Linked DNA regions of Elephas maximus indicus. The protein of the gene in region 4 purifies or fractionates together with the protein of the main gene of each other region. This does not show direct contact. Links are inferred from orthologs where the notes say so. Each region holds a gene or a part of one and is shown on either strand. Other genes may lie near its edges.

Region 1 (7,504 bases), on a different chromosome or scaffold from region 4:
TCCTAGACCCAAAAAAACCCAAACCTGTTGCCATCGAGTCAATTCCGACTCATGGTGACCCTATAGGACAGAGTAGAACTGCCCCATAGGGTTTCCAAGGAGCAGCTGGTGGATTTGAACTGCAGACCTTTTGGTTAGCAGCTGAGCTCTTAACCACTGTGCCACCAGGGCTCCTAGCTCCTACAGCCCCTCCAAATCCAGCTCTCAGTGCTGTCTGGAAGTCCTGTCACCTAGGTCACAACAAGGAGTCCCTGAGGGGTGCAAACGGTTAAGCACATGACTACTGGCTGAAAGGTGGGTGGTTCCAATCTACCAAAAAGTGCCTCAGAAGACTCGCCTGGTGATGTGCTTCCAAAAGGTCACAGCCTTGAGTCAGAATGGACTCAGAGGTAACTAACAACAACAGGTCGTACTAACTTCATCTAGGACTTCCCTGCTGCCTTTTCCCCTCTCCCTCTGGATTTGTTTTCTTTTCCTCTCTCCCACCTTTATTTGAATTTTTCTCTTTTCCTCTCCATCTGCCCTGTCTTTCTCTCCTTTCTCCTCTCCTCAATGTCCCTGTCTCTAAACATCTCAGGGAGGCGATGAATCCATTCATATATACGTCCCCACCATCTCCCCAGCACGTTCCCCTCAACCACAGAGTCTTCAAAACCTAGTTTATACTCCTGGTTATTGATTATTCCAAAAGAAAGGAGCCAAGGATATGAACCTCTCCTGGGACGCCACCTCCCCCACTGCCTGACCTAGAGATGGAGGGACACTCGGGCAGCCCAGAGACATTTTGGTGCCTCCTTCAGGAAGACTATCTTGTATCTAGCCCCTCCACAATATACCAGCACCCTGTGATGCCTTGGCTATGCCGGGGACATTTGTCCCAGGTACATGGGTGGCTCTGTTTACCACAGCCCATCCCCTGGGAGCTACCAATGTGGGCACGGAGGCCATGAGGCCGGGGGCTGATTCTTCCAATACCTCCTCTCTCTATGGCCCTCAGTTTCCACATCTGGAATGGGAGTAACAATCACCTGAACTCCTGGTCCCTTGAGGAGAGTCAACGAGAGCCATCACCCCCAGCCCATGGCCTCAGCGCCTGGCTGGTAGGATGTGTTCAGTAAATGCTTACTGTTACTGATTGTGATTATTATCAAGTCACTGTGGATGCCTGATAGGCCCTAAGCCCAGGGAGGAGAAGGAGGGTGCAGCCCCGGGAGGCACCCATGCCTGGCCTGTTTGTGTATGATGGATGATGCAAACCCCAATGGTGTCAGGTGGGGACAGTGGCCAGTGCCACGAGGCGACTGTGCTGTAAACAGGCCTCTCCACCAGCTGTCAGGGCCTTCTGAGTGTTTTGGAAGGGAGCGAGTATCTGCCGAGGGCTGCTTGGCCTCTGCTGGCAAAGGTCCTGGGCTGCGGCTGATGTGTGGGCCCAGCTGGTTCTGCCTTGGCCGCTGTGAGCCCCCTCAGTTCCTGCTCGCCCATTCTGTGCAGGGCGTGGGGGCTGTAGTGAGCCTCTGCCCTGGTCAGGCCTTCCTCACTCATCCTTACCCTTCCGCCTGCCTCCTGGATCCCTCACTCATCCTCAGGGTTTCCCGAGGTGCTGTCTGAAGCCAAAGCCAGACCTGCCCTCCTATGCTCACATCAAACCCAAACCAGTTGCCTCCGGTCATTTCCAACTCATAGCTACCCTACAGGACAGAGTAGGACTGCCGCATAGGGTTTCCAAGGAGAGGCTGGTGGATTCAAACTGCTGACCTTTTGATTGGCAGCCAAGCTCATAACCACTGTGCCCCCAGGGCTCCCTCTGCTCAAAAGCTGTCGGTAAATGTTCAATCTTCTCACCTGGCATCATGGCCGTGCAGCTCCCCTCCCAGCTTCACCCCTACTTCCCACCTCTGTGGCCCTTCAGGCAGCTGCCCCACACTTCCACCAGCACCCAGGCCCGGGCCGCCCGTCTGCCCCTCCATCTGGAGATGCCTCCCCGCCTCTACCTGAGGTTGTCCACCTATCCTTCCAGAACCTGCTCGAAGGCCATCTCCTGCTTGACCCTGTCCTGTGCCCCTTCCCTCAAGCACACACACAGAGGAAGAATTCTTTGTCCTGGTCCTTCCCACAGTGTTCTGTTAAGTCTTGCATAGTGTTTCTCCATCTTCACACTGTCTCGCGTGTTTTTGTTTGCAGCTTCTATTTCTTCCCCTGAGCCCCAACCCCGTTGCAGGTAAAGCCCAGGGCACCCCAGTGGCTAGCCTCCCTCCTCATTGCCGTGCACATGTGAACACTTCATAAACATTCACTTGTCTTTCTCAGGCATGGCAATGCCTGTTTGCCTGACCCAAACACATTTCTGAAAGTTGTTTGTCTGACGCAGATCTTGCCCAAGGCCCACGGCACCAACAATAGCATCACTGAGGGCTCCTGCCGTGTTGCCATTTTTAGACGTGCACATCAGAGTGACACTCTGAGCCAGAGTCCCCCGAAGGATGGACAAGCCCATGCAAATTGCCGATTCCATGTCCCCAAAGCCAAGATGAAAAGCCACCAGGAAACTTTACAACTCAAGCCAAAAGGACAGAGACGGAGAGGCAAGAATGTAGCTTGACCCTAAGAGCTTTCAGCTAAGCAGTGTAGTGGTAAGCCCCAGCCAGCCAAATCACCTTTCGCAAGGTCTGTACAAGAGACTTGAAAGCATGCATTACCTGCTAGGCTCTGAAACAAGGATACAACTCAGGTGTAATAAAAGGATTTTCTTGAGACTGTCCTAATTCAGAACGTGCCCCTGCGTTTTCTCCGCATCTTGGCTGCACTGCCAGGCAGCTCTGAAACACTCGCCTTTGAAGCAGGGAGTTTATTTCGGGCCCACCGCATGACCAGTGATGACAAGCCAAACTATAAGATGTTACGAATCTCAGATTTCCTGTTTGAAGATTGCACTAGAAAACGGCGGTCCTGCCTTCAGCTCCTCTCTCAATGCATCAATTACAGACTCTCACTTCATAGAGCATCTTGGAGCTGAGCCTCCGGCTGACCCCCACGTGACGTCATCATTTGTGATCCTTGACATGGAGGCCATATATGGGTATGTTTCTGGAACTACCCAGGAGGGAGAGAGAGGGGAGAGGAAGGAAGAGGAGAGAGACAGAGGGTAAGAGACAGAGAGACGGGGGAAGAGAATGGAGAGACAGAGAGTTCGGAGAGAAAGAGAGAAGTGAAGGTGAGAAAGAATGTGTGGGAGAGAGGAAGAAAGAGAATGAAGTGGGGGAATGAAAGAGGTTGATGGAGAGAAAGAAAGATAAGGAAGAGGGTGGGAAGAAGAGGGGGAGGGGCTAAGGGTAAATGGAGACAAGGAAGAAAAGGAGAAAGGAAAACAAACACTGGGAGGAGAAGGAGAGAGAGGAATGGTGATCTTCTGAGAGACGAAGATGGGGAAAGAAAAGGAAGTGAGACAGAGAAGAGCATGGATGGGAGGAGACAGGAGCAGGCGAGGGTGGGGGAAGGGAGGTGACTAGGAGAGGAGCAAAGGAAAAAGAGAGAGGGATGGAAAAGAAGGAATTAGAAGGCGAAGAAGAGGACAGAGGGACTGAAGGGAAACTGAGCACTACCGGGAAGAATGGGGAGAAGTGGAAAAAAGAAAGGGACGGAAGAGAAGTAGGCAGAAAGGAAGATGGAATGAAAGAGAGGGTAAGAGGGAGGGAGAGAGGGGAAGAAGGATTCCATGTAAACAGCCTTTGGAGAGCCCCCCAGTCGGTACTTGGGTGCAGAGCTGCAGCAGTTGGCAGAGCCTGACATTTGGAGGCACCAGGTATCCAGATGCTGGATGCTGGGGAGACAAAGGGCAGGGATGACAAATAGGCGAAGGGCAGTGCCAGCTCGGGGCCAAGGCACACAACAGAAGGGCGCTTTTCTCCAGGTCCAGGGAAGAGTGTTCCCTGCTTCTGGAAAGGTCAAATGGCACGATATGTCAGCACCAGGTGGCAAAGACCATGGCAACAGCCACACTCATTGGGCTTCCCATGTGTCCAGCCCGCTGCCTGGTGAGCATAGGGTGTGTGATGCACCCCACATATGCTTTCAGTCCCAGGCGCAGAGTCAGGGGCAGGAGATGTCTATGTCGCTGAATGAAAATCATTCCAACTTCAAGAGCCCATTCCCCTCAGAGGATATTGGGTTTATAACAGCCATAGCCTAGTTTCTTATCAACTCCAGCTCAGGAGAATTTCAGCACACCTTTATACTCACTTTGAATATCCTACCTGAGAATAAATCCCAGTGTATACAGGGTGCCCTGGGGTTGGGTCAGAGTTCTGGAGGTCTGGTCTGGGGCAAGGATGGGAGAGACATCATCAGTTCCTGACAGTCTCCCAGCTACTATGACACCTCCTGGGTCTTCCAGGCAAGTGCTATCTTCACCCCCATTTTACAGATGATGAAACTGAGGCTTGGAGGGAGGTTGGGTCATTTGTACACAATCAGTGGCTTGGCCACCCGAACCAGATCACCCCACCTGAGAACGTCCCCCCAGGCCACTGTGGCTGGCTGGCCTCTGAAGCCCAGGCTCAAGCTCAGCCCCTTATAGGCCTGTCATTTAGCTGCTGCCCTGAGCCATGGCAGGGATGTGAGAGACTCGGGGAGGGGGACTGTTCAATGCACTTGACTCTTTTGGGACTTTTCTTGGTAATTCGAAGTTCTAGTGGAGCTCCGTAAGGTGTTCATCCGTGCTCAGATTCTCCACCTATCTACCACCACCGTCTCCCCAGAACTGGCCTGGGTGGGGTGGGTGTGGGCAAGGCACAGGCCCTTCTCAGGGATGTGTACACTCTGCCTCCCTCTGACTTGCCCCTCCCTCCTGGTCCAGACAAACCTCTTGAAGTCAAGAGAGCCAGCGAACCCACTTTCCAAATCCTCTTGTCTTATGCCTGGACTCTGTGTTTGCAAATCAGAAGTCCCCATTGTCCTCTTTGGTCTCTGATTCTGCTGCAATGGCCCTTCCCGGAGCCCCTGGGATATAAAGAGTCACAGGGGAACAGGAAGTGCATTTGGGGTGGGCAGCATGGAAAGGAGGATGGCCAGGCACCTATTAACGTATCAAAACATCATCCTGCTGCACTCCCAACGACGTTCCAAGGCAAGGACTTTCATCACCCTCACTTCACAGATGAGGAAACTGAGGCTCAGAGAGGTTGGGTCATACGTTCACAATCCTGCAATTCATAGGCAATGCCTTGGCTTCCTGAACCGGATCTGCCCAACCTGGAAGCCAGTGCTTTTAGCCATAGCTCTATCCCCCATGTAATGGGCAATCCAGATGGTGGGGCCAAGCAAGAAGACCCGCAAGGCAGTATGGGACAATTCCCAAAATGCTGGGGTGCTGGATAGCGGGTCCTTTGGGAAAAGAACCTGCTAGAATTGTTCTCCACACACATATTGTCCTGTAGACCAGTGGACAAGGTACCCTCTGGACTAGTGGTTTTGTTCCCTCCCATTCTCCCATACCAAGGTGAGCTGGTTACTATTATGTGTCAGCTTGTCTAGGCTACGATTCTCAGTGGTTTCACAGATACTAGGCTGGGTGCTCTTCCATAATGTAATATAATGTAATCACTTTTCATGATCCGATGTGACCAAGACAATTAGTCGAAAGGGAAGTTTTCTTGGGCTGTGGTCTGCCTCCAATATTTAAACAGATGTTCTGCAAAGCTTGCTATTTCTTCTGGTCACCTGACCTCTGGGATGTAAGCCTTCAGCAGTCTTGGCCTGCCACCTGACGTGCAGAGTTTGGATTCGCCAGCTCCCACAACCCCATGAGCCAGCAGAGGCCTCCAGCCTGCCGCTGGACCCATGAACTTGGGACTTGCCATGAATTTGGGACTTGCCAGCCCCCACAGTTGCGTAAGGCATTTCCTTGAGGTAAATCTCTCTACGTATATTTATATATACTTTTCAGTGGTTTTGCTCCTCTAGAGAACTCAGACTGACACACAGGCACCTGGTATACCCCCATCTCCTTCTCTTGGCACCGATCCTGCTCATGACTCATCAGCAGTGGGGCCTTTTGCTGGGGTTTCAGCCAAGGCCATCATTTCAGGCATGAAAGATCTTTGCGGGGTGTCTTAGTTATTAGTGCTGCTATGATAGAAATACCACCAGTGGGTAGCTTTAACAAATAGAAATTTATTTACTCACAGCTAGGAGGCTAGAAGTCCGAATTCAGGGCACCAGCTCTAGGGCAAGGCTTTCTCTCTGTCAGCTCTGGGGGAATGTCCTTGTCTCTTCAGCTTCTATTCCTTGGCTCCTTGGTGACCTTCATGTGTTTTGGCATCTGTCTTCCCCCATCTCTGCTTGCACAATCTATTCCTTTTATATTTTGTAAGAGATTGACTCAAGAGATTGACTCAAGACACACCCTACATTAATCCCACCTCATGAACATAACAAAGACAACCCATTCCCAAACCGGATTATAACCACAGGCATAGAGTTTAGGATTTACAAACATATTTTGAGGGGGCACAATTCAACCCACAGCAGGGGGTTGCATCATCTGGAGATAGAACCTTGCCAGGTACTTTCACATTCTGGTCCTCATCTGAGACGTAGAACAGGTGTCAGGTGGACAGGAATGGGAGTGTCATTCCCAGGGTCCAGATGAGAGTACCAAGAGTGTGACGGTGGCAGAGCCAAGGCTTGACCCTGGAACCCTGGCTCCTCCCATGAGCCACATCCCCACTTGAGCTATTCCACAGAATGAGAACTACAGGCCATGAGAGAGGTGTGGGGATGAGCGTGGAGGGCCCACCCCTGGGGGAGTCAGCCGGCACTAGCCAAGACCCAGGACCCAACACTCCACGCCAAAATAAAGGAGGACTCAAGGTCTTACCCAAGCCTTTCCCCGTAGTCATCACCACCCCATGTCGTAAGGAATGAGAGCTGTGTCCAGAGTTACGTATGTACTTCCTAAAATGATTCAATTGGAACACAGCCTGGGAGGAAAGGGATTTATCAAGTTAAAATGAAACATACAGGGAAAAGGTCACAATATGTTAACCAGTTGCCATCATGTCACCTCCAACTCATAGCGACCCCGTCTGTGTTAGAGAAGAACTCTCTCCACAAGGTTTTCAATAACTGATTTTCCAGAAGCAGATCACCAAGACTTTCTTCCAAGGTGCGTCTGGGTAGGCTTGAACTTTAAGCCTTTTGGCTAATAGCCTAATGCTTAAACATTTGCACCATCCAGGGACTCCCAAAATATGTTAAGTGGGAAAAAAATACAAAAGGATAAAGAGTAGCCTAATACCATCCCCTCTTTTTATACAGTGGCGCATAGAAAAATGTAACATGTTAATAATAGACATCTCCACGTCTTCCCAATTTTCTACACCCACGATGTAGGGGAAAGGGCAGCATTATTTAAGCAATTGCTCAGGTCTGAGTTTATGGTTGGACAGTAGGACTCAGCTTGGGCCAAGATGGACCATTCACAAATGTGGCATCCTAGATCCTATTT
Region 2 (7,978 bases), on a different chromosome or scaffold from region 4:
TGGAACTTATTACGTATTACTGCCTCTTGCCACATAATTCCCCAGCCAGGTCACATCCAGGAGGGCTTAGGGGAGAATATACCATCGGGCTGTTGATGTTCATCACAGTTTTAGACACAGATGTGGATGGAGGCTTGATGGGTACTGAGTGAAATGGGACTAGGTCTGGACAAGGCATGTAGGCGGCTGGATTTTCCCTGTGTTCTGCTGCTGCCCAGTAAAGAAATAGGTTCCCAGAATGCACTCCCCCATTTTGGATCAGCACAGACTCAAGTACATTTAGTCCCTGTGTTTGGGAGTTTAATGTTCCTTTGGGCTCTGACATAGATTACAGAAGCATAGATTGTTTAGAGGCAATGGGCACAGAATCAAACTCTTTCCATTCACTGACTGCAATTATATGCAGTAAAGTAGCTTGGGGATGGGGTTGGGGGCTCTTGCCTCCACAGAGTCTCATTCAGACCCCTTTCAAGCTACCCCATGTAAACCTGCAAATTAAGTAAAAACAATGTGGTCAATTTGTAACTACAGCTTCAAGTCAATCCCCCAGGCTTCCCATCCCAATCAGAGGGCTGCCTCCTAAAACCCTCTTACACAGAAATCTTGGAGCTTCCAATGACCAACCCCTATGTGTCTGTCAGTTTGTTGTACTATGGGAGCTTGCATGTTGCTGTGATGCTGGAATCTATGCCACCTGTATTCAGATACCAGCAGGGTCACCCATGGAGGACAGGTTTCAGCTGAGTTTCCAACGAAGACAGGCTAGGAAGAAGAACCCAGCGGTCTACCTCTGAAAATAATTAGCCGGTGAAAACCTTATGAATAGCAGCGGAACAATGTCTGATATCGTGCCAGAAGATGAGCCCCCCAGGTTGGAAGACAGTCAAAAGATGGCTGGGGAAGAGCTGCCTCCTTATGTACAGTCAACCTTAACGATGTGGATGGAGTAAAGGTTTCACGACCTTCATTTGCTGATGTGGCATGACTCAAAATGAAAAGAAACAGCTGCAAACATCCATTAATAATCGGAACCTGGAATGTACAAAGTATGAATCTAGGAAAATTGAAAATCATCAAAAATGAAATGGAACACATAAACATCAATATCCTAGGCATTAATGAGTTGAAATGGACTGGTATTGGCCATTCTGAATCAGACAATCATATAGTGTACTATGCCGGAAATGACAACTTGAAGAAGGAATGGTGTTGCATTCTTCATCAAAAATAACATTTCAAGAACTATCCTGAAGTACAGTCCTGTCAGTGATGGGATAATATCCATACACCTACAAGGAAGACCAGTTAATACAACTATTATTCAAATTTATGCACCAACCACTAAGGCCAAAGATGAATAAACTGAAGATTTTTATCAGCTTCTGTAGTCTGAAATTGATCGAACATGCAATCAGGATGCATTGATAGTGACTGGTAATTGGAATGCGAAAGTTGGAAATAGAGAAGGATCAGTAGTTGGAAAATATGGCGTTGGTGATAGAAACAATGCTGGGGATCGAATGATAGAATTTTGCAAGACCAACGACTTCTTCACTGCAAATACCTTTTTTGACCAACATAAACGGCGACTATACACATGGACCTCGCCAGATGAAATACACAGGAATCAAATCGACTACATCTGAGGAAAGACAATGGAAAAGCTCAACATATCAGTCAGAACAAGGCCAGGAGCTGACAATGGAACAGAACACCAATTGCTCATATGCAAATTCAAGTTGAAACTGAAGAAAATTAGAACAAGTCCACAAGAGCCAAAGTACAACCTTGGGTATATTCCATTTGAATTTAGAGACCATCTCAAGAATAGATTCGACACATAGCACATTAATGACCAAAGACCAGATGAGTTGTGGAATGATATCAAGGACATCATACATGAAGAAAGCAAGAGGTTATTGAAAAGATAGGAAAGAAAGAAAAAATCAAGATGGATGTCAGAGGAGATTCTGAAACTTGCTCTCGAATGTCAAGCAGCTAAAGCAAAAGGAAGAAATGATGAAGTAAAAGACTGAACAGAAGATTTCAAAGAGTGGCTCGAGAAGACAAAGTAAAGTATTATAACGACATGTGCAAAGAGCTGGAGATAGAAAACCAGAGGGAAGAATACACTTGGTGTTTCTCAAGCTGAAAGAACTGAAGAAAAACTCAAGCCTCGAGTTGCAATACTGAAGGATTCTATGGCAAAAATATTAAACTACGCAGGAAGCATCAAAAGAAGATGGAAGGAATACACAGTTATTATACCAAAAAGAATTAGTCAATGTTCAACCATTTCAAGAGGTAGCATACGATCAGGAATCGATGGTACTGAAGGAAGAAGTCCAAGCTGCACTGAAGGCATTGGTGAAAAACAAGTCTCCAGGAATTGATGGAATATCAATTGAGATGTTTCAACAAACAGATGTAGCACTGGAAGTGCTCATTTGTCTATGCCAAGAAATTTGGAAGACAGCTACCTGGCCAACTGGCTAGAAGACATCCATATTTTTGCCTATTCCCAAGAAAGGTGATCCAACTGAATGAGGAAATTATAGAACAATATCATTAACATCACATGTAAGCAAAATGTTGCTGAAGATCATTCAAAAGCAGCTGCAGCAGTCTATAGAGAGGGAAATGCCAGAAATTCAGGCCGGATTCAGAAGAGGATATGGAACCAGGGATACCATTGCTGATGTCAGATGGATCCTGGGGGAAAGCAGAGAATACCAGAAGGATGTTTACCTGTGTTTTATTGACTGTGCAAAGGCATTTGACTGTGTGGATCATAACAAACTAGGAATAACATGGCGAAGAATGGGAATTCCGGAACACCTAATTGTGCTCACGAAGAACCTTTACATAGATCAAGAGGCAGTTGTTTGGACAGAACAAGGAGATACTGTGTGGTTTAAAGTCAGGAAAGGTATGAGTCAGGATTGTATCCTTTCACCATACGTATTCAATTTGTATGCTCAGCAAATAATCCAGGAAGCTGGACTATATGAAGAAGAACGGGGCATCAGGATTGGAGGAAGACTCATTAACAACCTGCATTATGCAGATGATACAACCTTGCTTGCTGGAAGTAAAGAAGACTTGAAGCACTTACTGATGAAGATCAAAGACCACAGCCTTCAGTATGGATTACACCTCAACACAAAGAAAACAAAAATCCTCACAACTGGACCAGTGAGCAACATCATAATAAACAGAGAAAAGATTGAATTTGTCAAGGATTTCATTTTACTTGGATCCACAATCAACAGTCATGGAAGCAGCAGTCAAGAAAGCAAAAGATGCATTGCATTGGGTAAATCTGCTGCAAAGGACCTCTTCAAAGTGTTGAAGAGCAAAGGTGTCACCTTGAAGACTAAGGTGCACCTGACCCAAGCCATGGTATTTTCAATTGCATCATATACATGTGAAAGCTGGACAATGAATAAGGAAGACTGAAGAAGAATTGACATCTTTGAATTGTGGTTTTAGTGAAGAATATTGAATACACCATGGACTGCCGAATGAACAAATCTGTCTCGGAAGAAGTACAAACAGATTGTTCCTTAGGAGCAAGAATGGCGAGGCTGCATCTTACATACTTTGGACATGTTGTCAGGAAGGATCAGTCTCTGGAGAAGGACATCATGCTTGGTAAAGTACAGCGTAAGCGGAAAAGAGGAAGACCCTCAATGAGATGGACTGACACAGTGGCTGCAACAATGGGCTCAAGCATAATAATGATTGTGAGCACGGCACAGGACAGGCAGTGTTTTGTTCTGTGGTACACAAGGTCACTATGACTCAGAACCAACTCAACAGCACCTAACAACAACCAATGACCAAAGCAGCCTTTAGTCTAGAGTTTGAAAGAGGTAGCTTGCAGGCATAATGTAAAACGATTTTTAGAAAATTGTTGCCAACATTTGCAATTTCAGGGAATTCCCATTCTTAAAAATCTAGATTTCAGCTTCTTTTGAGAAACTGGGCAACCTCACCATGGTGGGATGGGAGGGAGGGACCCAAAACCCAGTGCCATGGAATCGATTCTGACTCGGGAGGGAGGGGGACGCATTCCTGCATGGTACAAATTCACCCTTCAGACAGGGCATGAGCTGCATGAACTGTCTGACCCCTGCTTTAATCTCAAACCGGTTAGATTTTGTGACTTAGGCCAGTTTTGGGAAGTAAGTGCTGCAACACTCTTGACCCAACAGGCTGCTTCGTTAAACCGCCCGTGTGGGGAGCTTCTTTCTTTACATTCAGCACCATGTGCTGCTGGCTTTGAAATGTTTACGCTGTACACATGAAGCACATCTCTCAGAGGTGCCAGCATGGCTCTCCCTGGGTAGGAAGGGTTACTGTCAGCAATGACATCCGTTTTAGTCCTCAACATTTGGGCTACACCCCTAAGGTGGTTGAGTTTGTCTTCAGTGTAGTTCACTCCGATGGAGGGTGGACAATATCCAGGACGGGTACTAAAGAACATGGATTCGCTTCAACATGGTGGATAAATGCTGGAAGTCTCTCATTTGCCAAAGAGACTTTCTTGGAAACAATCTAGTCTCCTAAGCAAGTGTACCGGTGTGAATTCAGTCGACGCAAGGTTTGGTTTAGCGAGTGTGGCTAAGGAGGGTAGAATAGTCTGGGGATAAGGTGCCCAGGCCGTTTCTCGCGTGGAGACAGTGGCGAGGTAGAAAAGGGCACGGATGGCCCCACCGCAGGCCTCGTCTACGCAGGTGTGACCACAGAGGCGGCCCGAGAGCCTGGGCCCCTGAGCTTTTTCCCACGGTAGGACTCGGACCCGAGCCCCCTGACTGTGGCCGAGAGTGCTACATCTCGCGCCCGCGCAAAGCCTCTGGGCGAAATGAGAAAGTAACGGGTGAACGAAGCTCAGAAGGACACAGGTTGCCCCGCGAGTCTGCGCAGGCGCAACTGGTTCTCGGACGCCGGCCCGTGCGCAGGCGCGCTTCCTAGTCGGCCTTGTCCTGTAAACAGAAGGACCCGCTGCGACAACTTCTGCTTCCGGGTCACGCCTTGACAGCGGCTTTCGCCTCCCAGCTCAGCCTTGCGGTTCGGTGAGTCCGGCACTCGGTGCGGGAAGGTCTGCAGCCAGGTTCCCCACCCCGGGACACCACACCCAGTAACGCTCCCCGCTCGAGGCCCGTGAGCCCTCCAGGCTGTGAGACTTCGTTCCGGGCTTTGGGGAGAGATCCGTGCGAGGGTCGGTCCACTTCTGGGGCTTCTCTGGCGCAAATTGCGCGACCCCCTTTCAGTACCACCACCAGGAGATTTGCCGGGATCGCTGCGACCTTTTGGGAGCCCATGTGGAAAGTGACACCACACGTCCTTGCATGTTGTGCCCTTGCCTCCCGCCCCCTAGCCTCGGAGAGACCGAGCTGCCGCGAGCCCTTAAGGGTCCAGCAGGTGCGGTGGGTGGAGGGCGCCTCTGGCTGGGCCGAGGGTCTCCTCGCGGGCCGGAGGCCCAGGCCTGGCTAGCGCCAGAGCCTGAACGTCGCCTCTCTCCCACTTTGCTTCCAGCGTCGCAGTAAAAACTCTTCGGTGATACCTCCCGATCCTGTCGTAAAGAGAATGGGGGAGAAAGGGCTGTCAGCCCCAGCAGAAGGGGCCCAACAGGGTCAAACCGTGCACGGGTGCACGGAGAGAGGTCGTGTTTAGATTTCCTTGACCGTTCCTTCCTGACAGGGAATGTTGTCAATCTGCCCGAGATTTACCTCTTCTACCGGGAGCTTTGGGGCAGCAGCAGACGACCAGTGATGAGTTAGGTCGAGAGCGCCTCGAAAATGAGTGCAGGTTGTTTCATCAGATTATGAAAGGTGTCGGTCACCTAGAAATGGTGAAGAGTCTCTTCAGTCCAAGCCTTCCGTTTTAGATAGACCCTTTCTTGGAATCGCTGACTCAAATGTCCCTCTGCCTTTTTTGTTTGTTTGTTTTGTTTTCTCCTTCCTTGTTAGAAAGAAGTGTGAGATACAGACCTTCTCTCTGGCTGTTGGAGACATTAAAACATACGCTAAATCTAAAATATCTAGAAAATTTCAGAGAGACATGTAAACAAACGTGTAAGCTCATTCATTCATAGTAGGAGGGAGATGCTCAGTTTGAATCATTGACACATATGAGTTGGATATTTTTCACTCTCATTCTGTTAATGGAAACCCTGGTGGTGTAGTGGTTAAGTGCTACGGCTGCTAACCAAAGAGTCACCAGTTCAAATCCGCCAGACGCTCCTTGGAAACTATGGGGCAGTTATAACTCTGTCCTATAGGGTCGCTATGAATCGACTCCACGGCACTGGGTTTGCTTTTGGATTTTTTTTTTTTTCTGTTAATTAGCACTGTATATTTTTTAAACACATAAATGGCTACTCACTAGCAAAATAGAAACTATTAGAATTTGTAGTATATCCCATCATGTGTAAAGGGATACTTCATTATAAAAAGTAAAAATTAATTATTATGAGATAACCAAAATAATTATTCCTTGGTTTTTTAGTAATCATTGTATGAATAATGTGCTTAATTATTACAAGTATTGAATTTATTAGGATTCTAAGTAATAAGGTTTGTATTGGTTCAAAAAATACAATTGCAATTTATTGAGGTCCTGTCATGTGTCAGGCACTATTGGAAAGAAACACAGTCTTTATCACCAAGGAGATTATAGTTTAATAAGAACAGAGACTCCTAAACAGTTACACCTAAAGCGTTGATACTGTACCCTCTTTTTTCTACAGTTTCTCATATGTACTTTTTCATAGAAATGTTCCACCTTATTTGCTGTAATTTTAAATGTTCCCAACTAGCACCTCTTACATAGCCAAAAGTTTTATCACAGTTGAATTTAAGTATATTGCATTATTTTCTTCCTCCATCCTAAAATTCTCCATCCTGTTGTGGTTTCAATACATACTTCAATATATATTCAATATATATACTTGCCCAAATCTATTTTTCAGTTGTCATAAATAACCAATTGTCAAAATACTTAATTCTATTAGCACTCTTAAATTTGCTTTCCCAAAACTTGAAAGCATATGTCATTGGTAAGAACTTGGATTTTTTTTTACTCTAATTTTATATAGATGATTCCAGAGTGTTCATACTTTTACTTCCTTCCTTATTTTATAAAATATCATATGTTTCCCTTTTTTTTCTTTGCTGAAAACATTTGAAGATATTTTATAGATGCCTTGTCGGTAGTAACATATATGCATTTGTTCCATAGCATTCTCCCTGTCTTTTCATAGGTAACAATTACTTCCATACCCTTTAGTCACTCAGCCAACCAATATTTATTAAACATGTGCTTTTTGGGAGACTCTGTGGATGGGGAAAAAAGTATAAGACAAAGTTCTTGCCCTCCAATCAATTACAATTTAGATGGAGAAATAATATTTATGTAATAACTGTAAGGCCAAATGTCATAGCCTAAAGGTTGTGCCAATAATAAAGATCACAAAAGTTCAGAAGAGGAAAAAATGTCGGTGGCATCTTTACCATTTAAAAATCCCCTTCCTTGCCTAGTTGTGTATAACCACATAGATTTCCATGGGTTCTTAGGACCTGTTGGACAATTCTTGTCTAGACTACTAAATCAGAGAATAGAACAGAGGTCGTGAGGGTCAGAGCATTTGTGTCCAGGTCTACCCAGCTCCCAAAGCAACTACACCTTCTCCTCACTATTGACATGGTTAGGTTCCAAAGACCAGGTTGTTATGCAAAATCGGTGTTATGCAAAATGGAGGATGACCACACCAGATCACAAGATGGAAGATGACTACATCATTACATAACTGCCAAAGCACTGAGAATCATGGCTCAGCCAAGTTGACACATAACCTTAACATTCACAGTCAGCTTTACTCTCGCATTGCACCTCAGGCACTTCGTTACTGCCAGACGTACGTTGTTAAATTGCAAAATAGATAGTAGATTTTTTACTATTGTTGTAAATGCAA
Region 3 (7,179 bases), on a different chromosome or scaffold from region 4:
ATTCAAGAGCACAGCCAGTCTGGCCCTAGCAGAATCTTGGTGTTGCAAAGACATGGATCAGTGGGGTCCTCAGTTCGCAGAGGTTCCTCTAAATGCCTGAGCCTAGTTCACTGATGGTTTAGCTAAGTTGAAATTGATGGTGTCCATATTGGGCTGCTGCTGTGGAAAACTGAAAGCCGACATTGTTGCTCTGCTCAGTAGACAGAACTCAAGGTTGTTCTCATAAGCCTGGCCAATACTCCCCCTGACAAACCTTGCTGCATTTTACTGAACTGGGCTGTTGCCAGTGGTCTAGCTGGTCGACCACTTGGAAGACTACAGAAAGGCAAATTGAAGACACCCGCTTGAGGGCTGTGAACTGTGGAAACAAATCTTTGCTGCTAATCTGACAGTTGGGTCAGTCATGTAGATGCCCATGGTAGGGGCCTGTTCTCTGCTGAGACTGACGGGTACCAAGCTGTTGATCAATCCTGCACTGCCCAGAAGCCACATTGCATAAGACCTTCCCCCTCCCCCTCCTGCTCCTGGTAAATTGACTATATAGGACCTTTGACGCCCTCTAGGGGCTACTCTTGGTGCCTCACCTCTGTTCACACTTCTTTAGGTTGTGGTGTCCCTGTTCCAGTCCTATCAGCTGACTCAGGCCACATCATGATTGGCCCTTGAAACTACTCTTTTATGCTTTAGGCTTTCCAGATCCTCTCCAATCTGATAATGGTACACCTTTTTTTTTTTTTTTTTTGCAAAGGCCGCCCAATAATGGCCAATTGTCAAGTTATGTGATAGACATTCCACACTCCCTACCATCTACAGCATCTAGTTGCCAAGTGCTGGAACGGCCTCCTCTAAAATCAGCTCTACTTCCCTCATCTCCTTCTGCTCTGATCTAGTAGGATGATCTAGTCACTGAATGCCACTGTCCCCCAAGAGAGGGGCCACCTCATCTCCTCTTGGCCACCTCTTGGGTAATGATCAAGATGAAAGAGGTGATAGATTATACTTATTTTGAGAATTTAGAATTCCGCCCTGACTGTTCCTCAGTATGATGCATCTTTTTTTCCCTAATGGCTATGCCAGGCCAACCTTAGTACACCCTCTGGGTGCAGCCTAGTCAAAAGCGGGCTTAGGGAATTCAGGCTTAATTCTGATTCTGCCACGGGTATTCTCTTGTTGGATTGATGTGGTCCTAGATCATGAAGACAATGACCACTTGATTGAGTACACTACTCTCCAGGTCCCCCCAAAGTGGTCTACATATGTCAAGGTGGGGGATATAATGGGTCTTTATAAATTTTGTAAAAATGCCCTTGTCTCACACACACAAATCAGGGATGACTGGAGAAAAAATTAGGATCAATTGATGCTCTCTTTATCCTCTAGATCCAGCACTGCAGCAGGGCAAAACCATCAGATGGTCTGTCTGAGTCACACTGGGTTTGTCATCCTTGTCCATGTGCTCGAAAACAGAAAAAAATCATGCGGAGCAGCCAGTCCTGGGCTATTCTTCTGTGTCTGGTGCTGTAAATGGAAACCCCTGAATGTGGTCCCTCCCTTCACATGTGGACAGATACTGGACCGGCACAACCTTGTTGCGAACTGACTGATATGGATTCATATGCTTCTCCTGCTGTCCAAGAGTCCTTGGGTCAGCAAATCCTATTGGCTCTACCTTCAAAATCTATCCTGACTTCAAGCAGACTCACAGGACTGCTGAGTAGGTTGTGCAGGTTGTACCCTGTCAAAGGCAGTTGGGTGAAGGGGTAGGTGGAAACTGAAATCCAGCCTAAGCTCCAGAGTGGATGCCTTCTTCTAATGTCCATGAAGGCATGTGGATAACTGGTCATCTCCTTATTTCCACTTCTGTTGTCCTTGACCAAACTACCAGCACCTCTTACCTGGATTATAACAATAGCTTTTTACATGCTTCTTCTGCCTTTGCCCCCTACACTCTAATCTCCACACATCAGCCTGGTGATCCTTTAAAACCTTAAGTCAAATCATGTTATGCCTCTGTTCAAACGTCTTTTTTTTTTTTTTCTACTTCACTCGGACTGAAAGCCAAAGTCTTTATAATGGCCTACAAGGCATCACATTACCTAACCCTGTCACCTCTCTGACTTCATGTCCTATTATTCTCTCTCTCATTCACACTGCTCCAGCCATTGACTTTCTTGTTATTCCTGAAATATACCATACATTGTCTTGGCTCAAGACCTTTGCACTTGTCCCCTTTGTTTGGAACATTCTTCCCATGAGCTATCATCATGCCTTGCTTCCTCGCTCCATTCAGGTCCCTGTTCACTTTACGTGAGAAGTTTTCCATGTAAAATAGCACCCCTCTAGATCAGCTCCACAAGGTCAAAACTTTGTTTTGTTCAGTACTGTATCTCCACCATTTAAAACTGTGCCTGCCACGTAGTAAGCACTCCTAAATATTTGTTGAATAAATGACTAATGGATAACCACTGACCCAAAAGAGGTACAATTTCTTGGCAACACCACAGGCTCAAAGCAATCAGTGACCCAGTCTTGGCTCTCTCTGAGCAGATCCTCTGCTCTGTTCCCCACCAGCAGGATTCCTGTCCTTTCCATAGTCACCCTGTGGATGGACAAGTTACCAAAACAACAAAGTGATGCGTTGAATTTAGTTTTGTTTTAAGGTAGGAAGAGAACCTAAGGATGACTGTCTTAACACCAAAATTTCAACTTGAGTTTTTTGTCGTTTTTAAAAATACAGTGCAGTTTTAAGAAATGCCCAGTAAGCTTACTTCTGAAGCATGTATTATCAACTGGTTCAGTTTCAAAGTCATCCTTAAATTCCCCCAATAACCACTGTTTTATGAGTTGAATAATGTTTCCAGAGCATTTGAAACAAAGACAAAGGAGTGCTTTAATGTGTGAAACAACACAGCTGTGAACTTTATTAACACTACAATAATTCTTGTCTTTTTTTTTTTAACTTTTCAATGTAGCCGTCTACCATTTTAAAAAGAAAACCATTTTTCTGAGCTTATTTTTCCTAAGTGAGGCATATATGATTTTCTTCAACAACCCTCTCAGTTGATGGGCACCTGGGTGTGGGGTGTTACTCACTGTGGATTAGAGGGGAAAAAACTCTTTCCTAATTTCCCCTTGGCCAGAAGACTCCTCTCCCTGCAGGATTTCTCAGTCTCCTTCCTTTGAAGGTTCTTGCCCTTCAAATTCCTTTCTTCCAGACTCCTAAATGAAGAGATTGACCAATGATGCAAGTCACCATTATCACCAGAACACATTTCCTGGTACCTGCTGGTTCTGGGCCCTAGACTGGGCTCTGCAGGATCACAAAACAGGCACCTGACAGGATCTCTGTCTTCTAGGAGCTTACACTTTGGGTTGGGGTATGGATGCACACTAGAAGTGCCAGCTAGACAGGGGCAGCTGTGTATACAATTTGCATGAGCGTAGGAGTGGGCTGGAGTGGGTTGGGAGGTTTGCCAGGTGAGTTTTTCACAGACTGCAGGGGATGGCGGGTAGAAGGAAGTTGGGTTTTGAAAAAATGTGGTACCAATATCTGGAAGAAGGCAAGATAGCACATGCATTTAGCACCACTTGAGACCCGGTTCCGCCCCTATTTATTCATGCAAAAAGTACTTAAATGCCTCTGTGTCAGATATTGTGTTGGTTATACACGGGGATCACGGGAATACCAGTGATGAACAAACCCTTGGGTGGGGGTGAGTTGGGCATGTGGGAGGAATGTGGCTAAAGCACAGGACCAAGGGATAGAAAAGTATGAGGTGAAGGTAGACCGGCAGGTGGGGATCAGATCACGCAGGTCCTTGCGTTTGGTGGTTAGGTGTTTGGATTGTATCCAGAGGGCAATAACATGACATTTAATTCATTTTCCAACAGCCTTAAGAACTAGGTGTTCTTATCTCAATTTTACTCAAGGTCACCAGCGGAGAGAGATGGGGGCAGGGTCTATGAAAATTTGTCGGGTTCAGGCGCCTCGAGGGCCTCCTGGTTTGCCGGCTGACAGGGCCGCCCGCGCCGCCCGCAATGGTCGGGTGAGAGGAGCAGCTGGAGACCGCCAAACCGAAAGCTCACCCAACGCCAGGGCAGGCGCGCTCAACTGAGCATGCGCCGCTGCTCCGTACGGAAGCCGAGAAGGAGGGGGTGGGACCAAGGCTGGCGGGCGTGGGGAAAATGGCGGCGGCGGCAGCTGCTGCGAACGGGACCGGAGGCAGCACCGGGATGGAGGTGGATGCATCAGGTAACGGGCCCGGCGGGGACGGTTTCTGGAGACACTCTTTCGGGTGCAGTAAGACCTTTCTGGACTCCCGGGAGAAGTCAGGAGGACAGAACGGCCACATCTTTCCCTGGGATAACTCGCAGAGGGATGTAGGGCCCGGGTTCTGCCGTCCCCCACTCCCGTCCCCAGGGAAGAACGTGGTGCCCGGACTGTGACTCTCACCCCTTTCTCTCCACCCTTAGTAGTCCCCAGCGTGATGGCCTCCGGAGTGACTGGTAGTGTTTCCGTCGCTCTTCATCCCCTTGTCATTCTCAACATCTCAGACCACTGGATCCGCATGCGCTCCCAGGAGGGGCGGCCTATGCAGGGTGAGTGTTTGGCATAATTTTCCAACCCCCTCCCATTGGTCACCTTCCCCAAATGGTGAACTTTTCCCCGGTAACTACTCCCTTGTTTTACTGAGGCCAACTCCCTCTCCCTGAATCGCTGCTTTCCCAATACTTGGTTCCTACTGACCTCAGGCTTTCCGGGAAAGTTTTGGAATTCCTTATACAGGTAGTCCTCGACAACGAATGTCGAGTTTGAGTTAGAATTCGAGTTGGGACAAACTGCACTTAGGACTTCTGGTTTTTTCATTTCATACATCTTATCATTAGTAATATGTATTACAGTGTTGTCGCTCATAATTTGCTGATGTTATTCTCAGATGTTCACTCATAGATGTTCAATGTTGTGATTTATAAAGCTAAAACCAAAATCAGACCCGTTGCCGTCGAGTCGGTTCTGACTCATAGGAACTCTATAGGACAGAGTAAAACTGCCCCATAGAGTTTCCAAGGAGCGCCTGGTGGAGTGAAACTGCCGAAGTTTTGGCTAGCAGTTGTAGCACTTAATTACTATGCTATCAGTGTTTCCTTTATAAAGGTACTGATGATAAAAGGCAATAATAATGAAAACAAAAACGACGTATTCAACTTACGTGGAAAATCACTTACTACAGAGTCATCAGAACAGAACCCATCGTAAGTCAGGGACTACCTGTACTCACTTAATGTGTGTCTTCTCCCCAGTGATTGGGGCTCTGATCGGGAAGCAGGAGGGCCGAAATATTGAGGTGATGAACTCCTTTGAACTGCTGTCTCACACCGTGGAAGAGAAGATTATCATTGACAAGGAATATTATTACACCAAGGAGGAGCAGTGTGAGAGCGGAATAGAAGTGGGGGAGAGGCATGGGAGTAAAAGCAAAGGGTGGTGGGGAGGGGGGGCGGGGAGAAATAGATAGGATTGGGAAGAAATAAACAGGAGAATGGGATGAGAACAGGGAAAGTAAGATGAGAGTAGCTGAAAAGATCTCAGAAAAAGAACACATTCAGGTCCAGACCCTCCCCCACAAAAAAGTAAAGGATGAGAGAAGACAGGATAAAACCAAAAACCAAACCCAGTGCCGACTCGATTCCGACTCATAGCGACCCTATAGATAGAGGGAGTAATTATTCTAAAACAAGCCAGGATTTGAGGGAGATGGGGAACAGATGATGAAAGTACACCAGGAGCTTCAAAGTGAGGAAGGATGGTTTAAAGGAATACTATGTGCTTTGGCCCCTTCCTCTCCAGTTAAACAGGTATTCAAGGAGCTGGAGTTTCTCGGCTGGTATACCACAGGGGGGCCGCCTGACCCCTCCGACATCCACGTCCATAAGCAGGTATACATGCTCACACATGTGCATGCTGGGGCAGAGGCTAGAGGATGAGGGGAAGAGGAGAGAGAAGGCATTGACTTTCTTGTCCTTCTTCCTCCTGTTCTAGGTGTGTGAGATAATCGAGAGTCCCCTCTTTCTTAAGTTGAACCCTATGACCAAGCACACAGATGTGAGTAATACTGACCCCATGCCGTTTTAACCATGCCTCTCTGTTACTGTTTCTTCTAGCCTTTCTCTGTTCTCTTTTACTGGATGACATTACTTCTGTGTTGGGGAATGCCAGAGTTGAACCTCTGTTCTGCAGCTCTGTGACTTTGTCTAATCATTTTACACCTAAGCTGCATTTTCCTCATACGTAAAAGGGATGGTCTCTACTTCACTGGGTTCTTGGGGGTATTAAATGAGAAGATGTGTGAAACAGCCCTGTCCAGTTCTTGGCACATTTGATGTTAGAACTGTTCTCCATCTCTTCTTTACAGCTTCCTGTCAGCGTTTTTGAATCTGTCATTGATATAATCAATGGAGAGGTAATACCCTACCCTTCAACCCTCAGATCCTGCTCTTGGCCTGTTTCCTGCTTTTGACCCTCTGTGGGGTACTCTGCTCTGTAGGCCACAATGCTGTTTGCCGAGCTGACCTACACCCTGGCCACAGAGGAAGCTGAACGCATCGGTGTAGACCACGTGGCCAGAATGACAGCCACAGGCAGCGGAGAGAACTCCACTGGTAACGGAGACTGGCGGAGCTTCCTTGCAAGCAGGGGTAGAAGGGAGGCCACGTGTCTTCTCCCCCTTCACCTGTCCCTGTCCCTGCAGTGGCAGAACACCTGATAGCACAGCACAGCGCCATCAAGATGCTGCACAGCCGTGTCAAGCTCATCTTGGAGTACGTCAAGGCCTCTGAAGCAGGTGGGACAAGTGCCTCCCTGGCACTCGTACCATCTTTCCTCTACTTCCTGAGGTACCAACAGCCTCCATACTAATGCAGTCTGCTTTTGTGCCTTTAGGAGAGGTCCCCTTTAACCATGAGATCCTGAGAGAGGCCTATGCTCTCTGCCACTGCCTCCCTGTACTCAGCACAGATAAGTTCAAGACAGACTTTTATGACGTGAGTGTGAAGCCCAGGATGGGGAGGTGGGGCTCAAGCTGTTTTTGCATGCAGGACATGGGATTCGGGTGTTCCCTGAGCATACGGTAAAGGATCCCCTGGGGAACTGGTTCTTTCTGTTCCCTCCCAGCAATGCAA
Region 4 (7,568 bases):
ATTTCAAATGTAGCAAAACTGAAAGAATTTTACAGGAAACATCAGTATATTCACCACCTAGTTTTTAACATTAACATTTTACTATACAAAATGTGGAAATTCTCAAACAGTATCATTAATATCACACGCAAGTAAAATTTTGCTGAAAATCATTCAAAAGTGGCTGCAGCAGTACATCAACAGTTAATTGCCAGAAATTCAAGCCGGATTCAAAATAGGATGTGGAACCAGGGACATCACTGCCAATGTCAGATGGATCCTGGCTGAGAGCAGAGAATACCAGAAGGATGTTTACCTGTGTTTTATTGACTATGCAAAGGCATTCGACTGTGTGGATCATAAAAAATTATGGATAACATTGCAAAGAATGGGAATTCCAGAACACTTAATTGTGCTCAAGAGAAACCTGTACATAGATCAAGAGGCAGCTGTTCAAACAGAACAAGAGGATACTGTGCGGTTTAAAGTCAGGAAAGGTGTGTGTCAGGGCTATATCCTTTCACCATACCTATTCAACCTGTATACTGAGCAAATAATCTGAGAAGCTGGACTATATGAAGAAGAACTAGGCATCAGGATTGGAGGAAGACTTATTAATAACCTGCATTATGCAAATGATACAACCTTGCGTGCTGAAAGTGAAGAGGACTTGAAGCACTTACTGAAGTTCAAAGACCACAGCCTTCAGTATGGATTACACCTCAGCATAAAGAAAACAAAAATCCTCACTACTGGACCAATAAGCAACATCATGATAAACAGAGAAAAGACTGAAGTTGTCAAGGTTTTCATTTTACCTGGATCCACAATCAATGCTCATGGAAGCAGCAGTTAAGAAATCAAATGTGACACTACATTGGGCAAATCTGCTGCAAAAGACCTTGATAAAGTGTTAAAAAGCAAAGATGTCACCTTGAAGACTAAGGTGCGCCTGACCCAAATTACAGTGTTTTCAATCACTTCATATGCGTGTGGAAGCTGGACGATGAATAAGGAAGATCAGTGAAGAATTGATGCCTTTGAATTATGGTGTTGGCGAAGAATACAAAATATACCACAGACTGCCAAAAGAACGAACAAATCTGCCTTGGAAGAAGTACAACTGGAATGCTTCTCAGAAGGATGGCGAGACTACGTCTCACATACTTTGCACGTGTTATCAAGGGGGATCAGTCCCTAGAGAAGGACATCATGCTCGGTAGAGGGTTATCGAAAAAGAGGAAGACCCTCAACGATATGGGTTGTGTAGCCGCAATAATGCACTCAAGCATAACAATTGTGAGGATGGCGCAGGACCAGGCAGTGTTTTGTTTTGTTGTACACAGGGTTACTAAGAGTTGGAACCTAACAACGACAACATACTTGCTTTATTTGCTTTCTCAATTTTTCTATCCCTCTTCTGCTTTGATACATTTCAAAGTAAACTGCAAATATACCTTCACTTCCCCCTAAATTCAATATTAATATCATTAACTAAATTCTCAGGTGCACATTGTGTATTTCTTTCACAGCATTTATCACAACTCCAATTAAGGAATATTTGGTTTGTGTAACCATGCTTAACATCTGGCTCCCTGACTAGACCATAAGGTCCAAGAGAGCAGGGGTCTTCTGTCTTACTTAATCCTGCATTTCTGGTGTCTACTGCATAACAGATGCTCAAACAAGTATTAAATATTTAATGGGATTCTTTAAGTAGGGTCATTAGTTCATTTATTCATCAATTGTTACATCACATTTTGTCACCTCACTTCTCTTTTAGGGTGCATGCGTTGATTATAGTCTAACCTAGAGTCTTACATTTTAAATTAAGCAGTAGAACTGGACTAGGGTTGAGGATAACCCAGTTGCACTGGAAAACATAATTACATAAAGTTTATTGACTAGGCCTTTTTTGTGAGGCCAGCTGAGTAGAGGTGCTAACTAAGGCATGGCTGCTTGAACTAAAAAACTAAACCCATTGCTGTTGAGTCAATTCCGACTAACAGTGACCCTACTGGACACGGTAGAGCTGCCCCATAGTTTCCTAGGAGTACTCGGTGGATTTGAACTGCCGACCTTTCGGTTAGCAGCTATAGCTCTAACCACTATACCACCAGGGTTTCCATGGCCATTTGAGGAGGGCACTAATGAAAAGTTTGTATTGGCCATTGCAGTTTCCACCTCCAGATGTGAGAGATTATTCAGCAGTTTAAAACTAATTACCATAGGCACTATTTTCCATAGGAAGGCCCCTACAACTGAGTGATCTTGGCCAGGTCATCTCTATGAGCCTCAATTTTCTCATTTGTAGAACAAAGATGATCTCTTAAGTTTAGTCTCCCTTTGTTAACATTCTGCCAGGACATTATAGGCATTGTGGCTCTTAATCATTGTTCTATCACTCAGTAATTGTTTAAGTTTGACTAGGTTACTCTCTGAAGGAGCCCTGGTGGTGCTCTGGTTAAGCACGTGACTGCTAACCGAAAGGTTGGCAGTTTGAACTCACAAGCTGCACCACAGAACAAAGATGTGGCAGTCTGCTTCCATAAAGGTTAGAGCCTTGGGAACCCTATGGGGCAACAGGATTGCTATGAGTCAGAATCAGCTTGATGGCAATGGGTTTGGCTTTGGTTTTAGGTTACTCTCCATCAATTCATTTGGATTAAATGAGATTTCAAAAGCCTTCTAAACGATCTTCCTGTTTCTATTCACTACACAGTAGTCAGAGTAATCAGATTAAAATGGGTTCTAAACCCTGCAACGATTTCCCATCTCATTTAGAATAAAAGCCAGCAGTTTAAGGGGGCGCTGGTGGTTCTGTGGTAGAATTCTCGCTTTCCACGTAGGAGGCCTGGGTTCGATTCCCAGTCAATGCACCTCATGTGCAGCTACCACCCATCTGTCAGTAGAGGCTTTCATGTTGCTATGATGCTGAACAGGTTTCAGTGGAGCTTCCAGAGTAGGTAGCAGGACTAGAAGAAAGGCCTAGTGATCTACTTCCAAAAATCACTCATAGCGACCCTACAGGACCCACAGTTTCCAAGGAGCGGCAAGTGGATATGAACTGCTGACCTTCTGGTTAGCAGCCAAGCTTTTAACTACTGTGCCACCAGGGCTCCATAAAAATCCTATGCATCGCAATTGTCCAATCCCCAAATATTCTGTTTTGGGTCGGGGGCAAACCTGATGGTAGCTAAGAATAACAGTGGCCTACAAGGTCCTATGGAAACCCTGGTGGTGTAGTGGTTAAGTGCTATGGCTGTTAACCAAGAGGTCAGCAGTTCAAATCCACCAGGCGCTCCTTGGAAAGTCTATGGAGCAGTTCTACTCTGTCCTATAGGGTTGCTATGAGTTGGAATCGACCTGATGGCAGTGGGTTTGGTTTGGTTACAAGGTCCTATATGATCTCACTACTCTCCTTTCTCTCTCTGCTCCAGACACACTGACCTGTTTCTTGGATGCTCTGGGCACCCTGCCATCTCAGGTACATTCCCCTGCTTTTCCCTCTGTCTGGAATGCTCTTCCCCCACATATAGTATGGGCTGGCTCCCTTACCTCCTTCACATCTTTACTCAAACGCCATCTTTTCATTGAGGCCTACTCAGGCCACTTTACTTAAAATTACATCTTCATCCCCCCTTTTATTTTACTTCATAGCTCTTATTAATTTGTAACATATTATGAATGTAAGAATGAATACTGTTTGTAAACACATATAATACAATGCCAGCTATACTGTTCTCTGTACAAATTACATTCTCTTGTCTAGGCCAGTGGTCTGTGGTCTGAGGGGATAAAGCTTGAGGACTTAGGGTTCAGCATCTTTTAGGAAAATATGCCTTAATGCAATCCAGGACTAATACTCATTCCTCGACAATCTTTTACAGGATATCTAAGTGCCACGCGCTCTTGAATAGAAACATGAACAGTGTCACTTTGGTGCATTCATTCAACAAATATTTACTGGGCGCCTTGTCTGTGTCAGTTCTGACTGAAGACAGCTGCTACAAGCATTTCGGGATCACACAGTTCCATCCCTGAAAACCGAATCCCCAGATTGGGGACGGGGAGTGGGGGGAGCACGCCGGGAAACGCCGGGTCCCGCCAGCAGAGGGCGTACTCCAGCCCCCTACGCGGCCTCCGGTCCCACCAAGGCTCCAGGCTCCCACGCTCGCTCCCGTGCGCGCCCCCGCCCGCCGCGTCACGTGATGCGGCCGCGGAACCTGAGCTGTGGGGCCTAAACCGAGCTAATTTCGTTGCCGGTGGCCGCTGCGGGGGCAACCGTAAAGGCTAATCCGAAGGTGTGAGGGAGGCTCGTGGAGTCGATGCTTCCTCAACCACGTCAGGTCGGCTCCCGTTACCTTTTCACCATTCGCTGCTCTGGTCGCCCTGAGCGTTTGCATGAGCTCTTTCGTGTGGAGAAGCTCCGGTGACCATGTAGGCGGAAAGAGTAAGGAAGCTCCCGGTGCCTGGTCCAAGGTCAGCGCTGTCGGCACGCCGCTCCCGCGCCCACCACACCCTCGGTGCGGGGCCCATCGGCCGGTTGGCTCTGGTGGGAACTCCGGCCTCCAGTTGTGGCCTGGTCCAGCGCCCCACGAAATCTCGCGCTGTCTCGCGAGAGTGTAAGTTGAAGGAACATGGCGACGTCTAACCTGTTAAAGGTAAGACTCTCAATGCAGCCTGGCTTTTACTCTGTGACTGCCGGGTTCAGCTCTTCAGATAGGCTAGGTTCAGGTTCAGCAACGAGATGTGTGAGTGTCCAGGGGCTGCCCACCGGAAGGGAATCAGCTGCGACTGCCGCAGAGGAGCGGAACGCGGGTGCCTGGCCTTGCGGCCGAGAGGCTCTGGTTGTCCCTCCCGCCGGTTGCCCGGCGTGTGAAAGGCCCGGCTGCGGGCTGACGGGGAGCGGTGCTTGTAAGGGACCAGCTCTGGCCGGGAGGCTGAATGCTCGTACTGTGGCCTGAGGGATTGGGCCGTTAGTACTCGTGGGGTCTCAGTTTCTTCTGAAGCAAGAGTCTAAGACGAATAAAAAGAAAATCAGTAAAATGCTGCCTAACAGGTTTCAATGACCAGACCCCCATCTCCTCAATCCCTGTTTTCCTCATTTGTACGAAATTCCAAGTCAGACCGAGCAGTGCCTCCAACCCCACCCCCTTCCTCCCTCCCTTTTCCGCACGACGCACCTTCCCTCCTACCTCCCAGGCCCCTACCTCCTCTTCTTGAATTCTTGTTTTTCCTTAAGAAACTGCTCCCCCCTCCACTCACTCACCCCCGCCCCCATTACAGCACCCAACCAAATGACAGCTGATGAAGTGCTACCATCGTTTTAGGGCTTAGGAAAGTTACCTTATCAAAACGTTTAGTTTTATGTGTTTGGGATGGCAAGGTAGATCTAGGCCCAGAGGGACAGGTGCTCTACCGTCAGTTAAAAAGTTTGAAAGAGAATGAGGAAGACATGGTACTAATTCGTTCTGTGTTTGTGTTTATAGTTAGGAAACTTTTCCTTAAAAGCATTGACTGAAATGTGGATAGTGATCTGCTCAGGAAACATAAAAACAAAGGATAAACTGTTCCTCCCTCAGACCCATTATTATGCCTTCAGGCAGTGTGGATGGATAATAGAAAATAATATTAAAATATACCGGATGCTCACCTTTATGTCTTCTTTAGGCCACTGATACTGATTGCTTAATAGGTGAAACTGTCCTATAAAATGAAAACCTAATTTTACGAACTTAACAGGCAGTGTCTTGCCTTTTAAACTCGACTGCCTGAATTTCTGCAACTTACAAGCTGTATGGCTTTGGGGTAGTTTCTTAAGCCTGACTTATCAGTGAAAGGAGGTTATCAATAGCACCTATTTCATAGGAACATTGTGAAGATTAAATGAATTAATGTATGTAAAATGCTTTAAACAGTACCTGACACTTAATTCGTATACCCGTACCCGTTGACATCCAGTCAGTTCTGACTCATAGCAATAGTATAGGACAGAGTAGAACTGCTCCATAGAGTTTCCAAGGAGCGGCCGGTGGATTTGAACTGCCCGCCTTTTTGGTTAGCAGCCCAGCTCTTAACCACTACGCCAAACCAAAAAAACCAAACCCGCTGCCGTCTAGTTTATTCCGACTCATAGCAACCTTGTAGGACAGAATGGAACTGCCCCATAGGGTTTCCAGGGAGTACCTGGTGGATTCGAACTGTTGACCTTTTGGTTAGCAGCTGTAGCTCTTAACCACTGCGCCATCTGTTTCCACCACTACCCAAAAAAAAACACATAAATTACTGGAACTATTTCTCCATCTGTCCCGTTTCTTTAAGAACTAATTTACAGGAGTTGAGCATCCCATCCTACTCTGCTTTCTTTTTCTAACAGATGGTATAGCAGAGTTGTAATGTATTAGTCCAGAAAGAAATTCGTTAACTTCTGAAGACTATTGTTAATGCGTCAGTGTTTACTAGCAGTAGTGTATGTTATTAATCAAAATGTGTTTAAGAAATAATTGGGTTCCTACCTTGTGAAGTTTTTGACCTGTTGATTACCTGAATATGAGGCAAGCTCTCCTCCTTGCCCCCCCATACTCAAAAGAGTATTGTTTGAAGGAGATATAAAAAGTATTGTTTGGAGGAGATACAAATCTGAAGCTACTTTAAGTCAAAGTTAGTAAATGGTTACCATGTAGAGATTATGGATCTACATCTATGGGATACACATATAGAATGGAAAAACTGCCGTAACGTATGCAAAGTGGACATTTAGGCTTAGGTTAAAAGATCACAAGACTTCAAAAAGTGCTACAGTTCAAACAGCTTGTAAATAAAAGGAAGTTAACATGGTTTGAAGAAAACTGTTAGGGGGCTCAATCACTCTAGTGAACATGAAGACACAGATGCCAAAGATACATTGGAAAAATGTCAATAAAATTACTTTATAAAATGTTGACTAGGAAAAAAGCAGAATTTCTATATGAATATTATTTTATATGGTATGTGATGTAAAATCTGTATAACTAACTTACTATGATAGGTATTGTAAATAGACATTTGATTCTTTTATCTATATCCACAAAAGTTTATGTACTCAAGTTGGCCTGAAAACCTTTTTTTCCCTCTCCTCATTGGGAGATAGGGGGGATAGTCATATATTAAAAAGTAGATAATCATAAAATAGGAAGACTGAGAAGTTTATCTTTTTGGAGAAATGTAGTGAGACCCTGTCAGATAGATCTATAACATAATTCTTAGGAAACTTATATTCCTAAGTTTAATAGAGACAGGGCTGGCTAGGGAGTGATCAAATTAAAATTAGCCTCATTTTCTTTTTTGACAGGATTAATAGGCTTGTAGAATTCTCAGGAATGCCCAGTTTGGTTCCTGGCCAGTATACCTTAAGCACAGCCACCACCTATATGTCAGTGGAAGCTTGTGTGTTACTATGATGCTGAACAGGTTTCTGTGGCACTTCCAGACTAAGATAGACTAGGAAGAAAGGTCTGGCAATCTATTTCAGAAAATCAGTGAAGACCCTGTAGATCACAGTGGTCCCATCCTGTTGTACACGGGGTCACGACAAGTTGGGGGCCGAC

What was found. The genes of interacting proteins can lie anywhere in the genome.
Region 1: the proteins of CUL5 (region 4) and ASB2 purify together in Homo sapiens (affinity purification with western blotting; 5 studies listed by BioGRID and IntAct, counting the BioPlex papers as one, with this or other methods). This does not show direct contact. The link is inferred for Elephas maximus indicus from reciprocal best matches to the Homo sapiens genes CUL5 and ASB2.
Region 2: the proteins of CUL5 (region 4) and ASB8 purify together in Homo sapiens (affinity purification with mass spectrometry; 3 studies listed by BioGRID and IntAct, counting the BioPlex papers as one, with this or other methods). This does not show direct contact. The link is inferred for Elephas maximus indicus from reciprocal best matches to the Homo sapiens genes CUL5 and ASB8.
Region 3: the proteins of CUL5 (region 4) and COPS6 purify together in Homo sapiens (affinity purification with mass spectrometry; 5 studies listed by BioGRID and IntAct, with this or other methods). This does not show direct contact. The link is inferred for Elephas maximus indicus from reciprocal best matches to the Homo sapiens genes CUL5 and COPS6.

What each region holds. Positions count from the first base shown.
Region 1 is NC_064828.1:107,556,834-107,564,337, forward strand, and holds the start of ASB2 (ankyrin repeat and SOCS box protein 2), read right to left. Parts: upstream 3,012-7,504; 5' UTR 2,830-3,011; exon of another isoform or gene 2,697-2,829; intron 1-2,696. UniProt on the Homo sapiens protein: Substrate-recognition component of a SCF-like ECS (Elongin-Cullin-SOCS-box protein) E3 ubiquitin-protein ligase complex which mediates the ubiquitination and subsequent proteasomal degradation of target proteins.
Region 2 is NC_064822.1:103,034,180-103,042,157, reverse strand, and holds the start of ASB8 (ankyrin repeat and SOCS box protein 8), read left to right. Parts: upstream 1-4,967; 5' UTR 4,968-5,078; exon of another isoform or gene 5,079-5,427; intron 5,428-7,978. UniProt on the Homo sapiens protein: May be a substrate-recognition component of a SCF-like ECS (Elongin-Cullin-SOCS-box protein) E3 ubiquitin-protein ligase complex which mediates the ubiquitination and subsequent proteasomal degradation of target proteins.
Region 3 is NC_064830.1:91,596,240-91,603,418, forward strand, and holds the start of COPS6 (COP9 signalosome complex subunit 6), read left to right. Parts: upstream 1-4,168; 5' UTR 4,169-4,185; coding exon 4,186-4,252; intron 4,253-4,473; coding exon 4,474-4,599; intron 4,600-5,301; coding exon 5,302-5,433; intron 5,434-5,848; coding exon 5,849-5,937; intron 5,938-6,040; coding exon 6,041-6,103; intron 6,104-6,413; coding exon 6,414-6,461; intron 6,462-6,545; coding exon 6,546-6,660; intron 6,661-6,749; coding exon 6,750-6,842; intron 6,843-6,940; coding exon 6,941-7,041; intron 7,042-7,171; coding exon 7,172-7,179. UniProt on the Homo sapiens protein: Component of the COP9 signalosome complex (CSN), a complex involved in various cellular and developmental processes.
Region 4 is NC_064825.1:11,657,423-11,664,990, reverse strand, and holds the start of CUL5 (cullin-5), read left to right. Parts: upstream 1-4,553; 5' UTR 4,554-4,619; coding exon 4,620-4,643; intron 4,644-7,568. UniProt on the Homo sapiens protein: Core component of multiple cullin-5-RING E3 ubiquitin-protein ligase complexes (ECS complexes, also named CRL5 complexes), which mediate the ubiquitination and subsequent proteasomal degradation of target proteins.